Saccharomyces cerevisiae S288C: one gene and its partners. Each later gene encodes a partner of the first gene's protein in a complex. Each region holds a gene or a part of one and is shown in the gene's direction. Other genes may lie near its edges. The genes, in order: PBI2, TRX1 and TRX2.

The links.
Region 2: PBI2 (region 1) and TRX1 share a complex: the UniProt entries of both Saccharomyces cerevisiae proteins name them as parts of the heterodimeric LMA1 complex.
Region 3: PBI2 (region 1) and TRX2 share a complex: the UniProt entries of both Saccharomyces cerevisiae proteins name them as parts of the heterodimeric LMA1 complex.

Annotation. Positions count from the first base shown.
Region 1 is NC_001146.8:603,546-606,158, forward strand, and holds PBI2 (Pbi2p), read left to right. Parts: upstream 1-1,838; coding exon 1,839-2,066; downstream 2,067-2,613. Other genes in the region: PUB1 (Pub1p), read left to right, coding at 1-723. UniProt on the Saccharomyces cerevisiae protein: Cytosolic inhibitor of vacuolar proteinase B (yscB), probably regulating protease B activity during limited proteolysis.
Region 2 is NC_001144.5:231,074-233,872, reverse strand, and holds TRX1 (thioredoxin TRX1), read left to right. Parts: upstream 1-1,859; coding exon 1,860-2,171; downstream 2,172-2,799. Other genes in the region: PDC1 (indolepyruvate decarboxylase 1), read left to right, coding at 1-1,483. UniProt on the Saccharomyces cerevisiae protein: Participates as a hydrogen donor in redox reactions through the reversible oxidation of its active center dithiol to a disulfide, accompanied by the transfer of 2 electrons and 2 protons.
Region 3 is NC_001139.9:912,378-915,004, reverse strand, and holds TRX2 (thioredoxin TRX2), read left to right. Parts: upstream 1-1,777; coding exon 1,778-2,092; downstream 2,093-2,627. Other genes in the region: YGR210C (uncharacterized protein), read left to right, coding at 267-1,502; SER2 (phosphoserine phosphatase), read right to left, coding at 2,193-2,627. UniProt on the Saccharomyces cerevisiae protein: Participates as a hydrogen donor in redox reactions through the reversible oxidation of its active center dithiol to a disulfide, accompanied by the transfer of 2 electrons and 2 protons.

The DNA of each region.
Region 1 (2,613 bases):
GATGATGCACAAAATGCCATGGACAGCATGCAAGGTCAAGATTTGAATGGTAGACCGCTAAGAATCAACTGGGCTGCTAAGCGTGATAACAATAACAATAATAATTATCAACAGCGTCGTAACTACGGTAACAACAACCGTGGTGGTTTCCGTCAATATAACAGTAACAACAATAACAACATGAATATGGGGATGAATATGAACATGAATATGAATATGAACAACAGCAGGGGCATGCCACCAAGTTCAATGGGAATGCCAATTGGCGCCATGCCATTACCATCTCAAGGCCAACCCCAACAATCCCAGACCATTGGTTTACCTCCTCAAGTAAATCCTCAAGCTGTTGACCACATCATTAGAAGTGCCCCACCAAGAGTTACTACTGCCTATATCGGTAATATTCCGCACTTTGCCACTGAAGCTGATTTAATTCCGTTGTTCCAGAACTTCGGTTTTATTTTAGATTTCAAGCACTATCCAGAAAAGGGCTGTTGCTTCATAAAGTATGACACTCATGAACAGGCCGCTGTTTGTATTGTTGCCTTGGCAAACTTCCCATTTCAAGGCAGAAACTTGAGAACCGGTTGGGGTAAGGAAAGATCAAATTTTATGCCACAGCAGCAGCAACAGGGCGGTCAGCCACTTATAATGAATGACCAACAACAACCGGTTATGTCTGAGCAACAACAGCAACAGCAGCAACAGCAGCAACAACAATAAATATTATGAAGAAAAGTGGAATGAAACAAAAAGAAAGAATAAAGAGAGGCAACCTACAAATCCCAAGATAAAATAAAAAAAGAACGACAAGAATCCATTCATTATATTATACTATTTTTAAAAAAAAAATTACTACGAAAAAGGGAGAGAAAAAGAAGAAGAAACTCAATTTACTATTGCTCGAAAAATAAAAGGGCCTATAAACTTACTCTATTTTTTTAGTTTTTCTGTGTCTTATTTCCTTCCTTCGTCACTGTTTAATTTTTAATACTATTATTTTCCTTTAAAATGTGAAAGTCATTGCTAATAGTGTGATAAAAATAAAGAACGTATTTTCTGAAGGCTTTCTTTATTATATTTCCTTTTTCCTTTCTTACCCTATTTTTTTTAAACATCCATCCCACTGTATTTTGTCGAGTCCATATATATAATTTTTGTTTTTATTTTTTACAACTTTTGTTAAGTATATAAAAATGCTACCTAGCGTTATGGAGACATGTCAGTCTTGAGTCCAGGCACATAAAGGCAACAGCCACTACCACTGCGCACCCGTGACGCTGCTCCAACGTTCTCATTAAGTACGGAACTGTGTTTCGAACAAAAGAATGGCTGTTAAGACCAAAAAAAAGGCAGCTTAACAGGAACCCGGCTGGTTCCACAGGACTTTTCTTTCTTTAGGGAAAGGTTGTGAAAATGACAACCAAAAAGTCGCGACGCCAAATATCAAAAACCTAGATGATATTACTTCGTCTGCCAAACACCTCCTTTCCCTCTATCCAGCCCTTATTTTTTTTCCAAGAGCTTCATATGCACGCCCGAATCATTTCGAATCGCGTACGTGGCAGGTTGTGGCTGGCATCTTTCCCAAAAGGAAACGGACCAATACCACGCATCCCCGAGCTCTTGGTCTTTCTTTATCTTGCATAGCCCAAAAAATAAAATGGGGCGGGAAAAAGGGGGCATATCAGAGCATCGGGAACTTCTTTCAATGCAATATATATGGCACATATAAAAAATTCTGGCTTCATTATGTTAGGTGCAGAGATTCCGTTTAGACCAATTGAACGGTAACCAGAAGGTAATCTTAAATATACAAACAAAAAACAAGGTCCATAATGACAAAGAATTTCATCGTCACTTTGAAAAAGAACACTCCAGATGTGGAAGCTAAGAAGTTCTTGGATTCAGTTCATCACGCAGGTGGCTCTATTGTACACGAATTCGACATCATTAAAGGGTACACCATCAAGGTACCAGATGTTCTCCACTTGAACAAGTTGAAGGAAAAGCACAATGATGTCATCGAGAACGTCGAAGAAGACAAAGAAGTTCATACAAATTGATTCCTGAGATAAACGCAAACACTTTTTTACTCGGAAATTTTCTCTCCCCGATTGTAAATTTATTTCTCGTCTACTATAATAATTCACCAAAAAACAGCAGAGCACGTCCTATATATATATATATATATATATATATATATACATATATATATACGAATATATTTATGACAGTCTAAATCGTTGCTCCTGTTCAATTTTAACGCTCTTTTATAACTGCTGTGGCGCCATTTCTTTGGCATCTAAGATGTGTCTCGGGACTTTCTTTTTCTGGTCATCTTGCTTTCCTTGCCTTGTCATTAACAGAGCTAAACTGTGTTGAGGAAGTGGTCTTTTAAATTTTCAAGGTCGCGGCCCGTGCATTGCGCGGCTGGATGTCTTTTAGGGGAGCGATGCGCTTGCACAAAAGAATAGCCTTGATTTCCGCTATTAATGGGTATATTCTTCTAACAATTTGAGTTTTTTCTCCACTTGTTTCTTTCTTCTTTCTCTTTTCCATTCACATTTTGCTTTACTTTTCTGGATAATATATATGTGCATATATATATAT
Region 2 (2,799 bases), on another chromosome or scaffold:
CATCACCACCTTCGGTGTCGGTGAATTGTCTGCTTTGAACGGTATTGCCGGTTCTTACGCTGAACACGTCGGTGTTTTGCACGTTGTTGGTGTCCCATCCATCTCTGCTCAAGCTAAGCAATTGTTGTTGCACCACACCTTGGGTAACGGTGACTTCACTGTTTTCCACAGAATGTCTGCCAACATTTCTGAAACCACTGCTATGATCACTGACATTGCTACCGCCCCAGCTGAAATTGACAGATGTATCAGAACCACTTACGTCACCCAAAGACCAGTCTACTTAGGTTTGCCAGCTAACTTGGTCGACTTGAACGTCCCAGCTAAGTTGTTGCAAACTCCAATTGACATGTCTTTGAAGCCAAACGATGCTGAATCCGAAAAGGAAGTCATTGACACCATCTTGGCTTTGGTCAAGGATGCTAAGAACCCAGTTATCTTGGCTGATGCTTGTTGTTCCAGACACGACGTCAAGGCTGAAACTAAGAAGTTGATTGACTTGACTCAATTCCCAGCTTTCGTCACCCCAATGGGTAAGGGTTCCATTGACGAACAACACCCAAGATACGGTGGTGTTTACGTCGGTACCTTGTCCAAGCCAGAAGTTAAGGAAGCCGTTGAATCTGCTGACTTGATTTTGTCTGTCGGTGCTTTGTTGTCTGATTTCAACACCGGTTCTTTCTCTTACTCTTACAAGACCAAGAACATTGTCGAATTCCACTCCGACCACATGAAGATCAGAAACGCCACTTTCCCAGGTGTCCAAATGAAATTCGTTTTGCAAAAGTTGTTGACCACTATTGCTGACGCCGCTAAGGGTTACAAGCCAGTTGCTGTCCCAGCTAGAACTCCAGCTAACGCTGCTGTCCCAGCTTCTACCCCATTGAAGCAAGAATGGATGTGGAACCAATTGGGTAACTTCTTGCAAGAAGGTGATGTTGTCATTGCTGAAACCGGTACCTCCGCTTTCGGTATCAACCAAACCACTTTCCCAAACAACACCTACGGTATCTCTCAAGTCTTATGGGGTTCCATTGGTTTCACCACTGGTGCTACCTTGGGTGCTGCTTTCGCTGCTGAAGAAATTGATCCAAAGAAGAGAGTTATCTTATTCATTGGTGACGGTTCTTTGCAATTGACTGTTCAAGAAATCTCCACCATGATCAGATGGGGCTTGAAGCCATACTTGTTCGTCTTGAACAACGATGGTTACACCATTGAAAAGTTGATTCACGGTCCAAAGGCTCAATACAACGAAATTCAAGGTTGGGACCACCTATCCTTGTTGCCAACTTTCGGTGCTAAGGACTATGAAACCCACAGAGTCGCTACCACCGGTGAATGGGACAAGTTGACCCAAGACAAGTCTTTCAACGACAACTCTAAGATCAGAATGATTGAAATCATGTTGCCAGTCTTCGATGCTCCACAAAACTTGGTTGAACAAGCTAAGTTGACTGCTGCTACCAACGCTAAGCAATAAGCGATTTAATCTCTAATTATTAGTTAAAGTTTTATAAGCATTTTTATGTAACGAAAAATAAATTGGTTCATATTATTACTGCACTGTCACTTACCATGGAAAGACCAGACAAGAAGTTGCCGACAGTCTGTTGAATTGGCCTGGTTAGGCTTAAGTCTGGGTCCGCTTCTTTACAAATTTGGAGAATTTCTCTTAAACGATATGTATATTCTTTTCGTTGGAAAAGATGTCTTCCAAAAAAAAAACCGATGAATTAGTGGAACCAAGGAAAAAAAAAGAGGTATCCTTGATTAAGGAACACTGTTTAAACAGTGTGGTTTCCAAAACCCTGAAACTGCATTAGTGTAATAGAAGACTAGACACCTCGATACAAATAATGGTTACTCAATTCAAAACTGCCAGCGAATTCGACTCTGCAATTGCTCAAGACAAGCTAGTTGTCGTAGATTTCTACGCCACTTGGTGCGGTCCATGTAAAATGATTGCTCCAATGATTGAAAAATTCTCTGAACAATACCCACAAGCTGATTTCTATAAATTGGATGTCGATGAATTGGGTGATGTTGCACAAAAGAATGAAGTTTCCGCTATGCCAACTTTGCTTCTATTCAAGAACGGTAAGGAAGTTGCAAAGGTTGTTGGTGCCAACCCAGCGGCTATTAAGCAAGCCATTGCTGCTAATGCTTAAACTCACCCAATGACCGATATATTGTGTTTCTATACTGTGTTTGTTATATATAGTTTACCTTTTTTAGACAAAAAAACAGAATTATATATTATCCTTATGTTTTGTTATTTACTCGGAAGCACACAATTGCCCACCACACAAAGGAGGTGGAGGAAACAATTAATTTTTCACACAAGAGGTATATATTTGGAGAAAAATGAAGAATGAGATACTTTTCTTCCGATTACTTAAGTATTACGGCTCTGAAATTTTCTCGAGCATTAGATGATTAAATCAAAATGACATAGTATTTCGCAACCTTTCAGTTGGGCTTTGTTTAAGAAGTGGAATACTTTTGCTTGAGTTGTTTAGTTTTATTTTATCCACTGTTGTCTTAACAAATATTTTCAAGACCGGTAAGCCGAAGATGAAAAATCATTATTAACTCATTTTTTGAACAAAAATATAAACAAAAGAAAGGCAACGCACAATTTTAGAGATACATAAAACGCAGTGGATGTTAAAAATAACAGCGGTACAGAAACGCCTGTCTCGCTCCAATAATAATTATACAAATTTGAAACCGAACGCAATGTGCCAAGAAATGTAAACACACTATAGAAAAAAATAGAACGGTGCACATTGTGCT
Region 3 (2,627 bases), on another chromosome or scaffold:
GGCACAATTTATTGTAGGGTTAGTAAGGGCTTTTTTATCAAGGTGAAAAATTCACTCGATGCCTTTTTTTTTTTTTCTCGAATAGATAGATATGCAAGAAATGTAATGCTATGCAGTGCAAAACAGATGTGTAAGTGTTCTAGGATGAATTGTAATGAGAGTTGGTTTTATTTTCATTTTGCGTTTTCGTTTTCCGTCTTTTAGCTTTTGTCCAACTAACTTGTAGTATAAGCTGTCTGTAAGAATAAAACGGAAATAGAGCCAGTATGCCCAGGGATCCATTGATTGGTATTGTGGGTAAGCCATCTTCAGGGAAATCCACCACATTAAATTCTTTGACGGACGCAGGTGCGGCGGTAGGAGCATTTCCCTTTACCACGATCGAGCCAAATCAGGCAACCGGCTACTTGCAAGTTGAGTGTGCTTGCTCCAGATTTGGCAAGGAAGATCTTTGTAAACCTAACTACGGGTGGTGTAGCAAGGGTAAGAGGCATATCCCCATCAAACTGTTGGATGTGGCAGGGCTTGTGCCTGGAGCGCATTCCGGCAGAGGGCTTGGAAATAAATTCTTGGATGATTTAAGACACGCAGATGCTCTTATTCATGTGGTGGACGTTAGTGGAACCACAGATGCAGAGGGGAAGAACACAAGAGGATATGATCCATTGAACGATATAGAATGGCTGCAAGACGAAATCAGGCTTTGGGTTGAGGGGAACCTGAAGAAAAGATGGGGGTCTATTGTGCGTAAACATACAGCAACGAAATCTAGCATAGTGGACACACTTCAAGCGCAATTCGGTGGGTACGGTTCACATGCGCCCATGATCCAAAAAGCCCTGGACAGGTTGAAGGGACTACCACCTTTGGAAAAATGGGATGACGAATGGATCACTCGAGTGGTCAAGTCCTTTATGATGGAGAAATTTCCAACTGTGTTGGCACTCAACAAGATTGACCACCCTGACGCCGATAAAAATGTTTCTAAAATCATGCTAAAGTATCCTGACACCAAAGCTGTACTGACCAGTGCAGTGACGGAAGTTTTTTTGAGGAAATTGAAAAAGCAAGGTTTTATATTATACGAGGAGGGCACGGAATTTGTTGACACATTTGAGGACGAGCCAGACAAACTAAAGCCACTGGACGACAAGATCCTTAACAGAATTGAAAATATCAGAGATTTGGTCCTGTATAGATTCGGATCTACGGGTGTTGTTCAGGTTCTGCAAGCAGCAACGGACATCCTTGGTCTAATACCGGTGTACACTGTGAAGAACATCCAGACTTTTACGGGTGGCAACGGAACCAACGTATTTAGAGATTGTTTTTTGGTCAAGCGAGGAACCCCTGTTGGCAAAGTTGCCAGGTATATCATGGGTGGCGAGGTCACCATTGCAAGCATTGAAACCGTTGGCGGCGTGAGAGTCAGTGAAGAAAGTCTTGTTGAGCCCGGTAAGAATGACATACTCGGCTTCAAGATCGCTCCAAGATCAGCATAACTTGAGTGCCAGTGAATATTAAGTAATCATCAAAGTATATGTGTAATTGTTTATACTCTTAGTAAAGGATGCTCCCTACAAGGTGGCTCTTTTCTTACTAAGCGCGTTCAGTTTCCAGCCAGCCGAAAGAGGGATATCAGTATATAAGAAAGCCATTCGGGGGATGAAAAGCTGACAAGAGAATAACGAGGACCAGTTTTTATTTGTTGTCTAGCAAGAATTATACACGCACACATACACGAGAGTCTACGATATCTTTAAATAACACATCAATAATGGTCACTCAATTAAAATCCGCTTCTGAATACGACAGTGCTTTAGCATCTGGCGACAAGTTAGTCGTTGTTGACTTTTTTGCCACATGGTGTGGGCCATGTAAAATGATTGCACCAATGATTGAAAAGTTTGCAGAACAATATTCTGACGCTGCTTTTTACAAGTTGGATGTTGATGAAGTCTCAGATGTTGCTCAAAAAGCTGAAGTTTCTTCCATGCCTACCCTAATCTTCTACAAGGGCGGTAAGGAGGTTACCAGAGTCGTCGGTGCCAACCCAGCTGCTATCAAGCAAGCTATTGCTTCCAACGTATAGTTGCCGGTATATTAACGCTACGTAAAGTACATCATGTTTACCAGTTTAAATAAACAATTTTAAAAAGAAACTCTATTACATCTATCTATCATTATTTTCTTCATTGTCTATTGTATATTTCATCATCGGTGTAACCAAGAATGTATAAAATGTCAGTCATGCTCTTGGTATTCAACTTACAAGGTGCAGCTTTCTGCACCTTTGGCTTGGCGTTCCATGCGATCCCAAACCCGGCGGTAGCCATGGCTGGCAGGTCGTTACCACCGTCACCCACCATACAACTTGCTTCAACTGGAACATTGTAGTCATTACATAGTTGCAGAAGGGTTTCACTCTTGCACTGTCCGTCTACGATAGGACCCAGTGTTTTACCGGTTAATTTTCCATCAGTGTCAACTTCCAACAAGTTTGCCTTACAAAAATCTAAACCTAACTGATCCTTGATAAAACCGGCAAACTGAATAAAACCACCGCTTAAAACAGCGAGCTTGCAATTTTTTTTGTGAAGGAACTTGCATAGTTCTGGCACACCCTT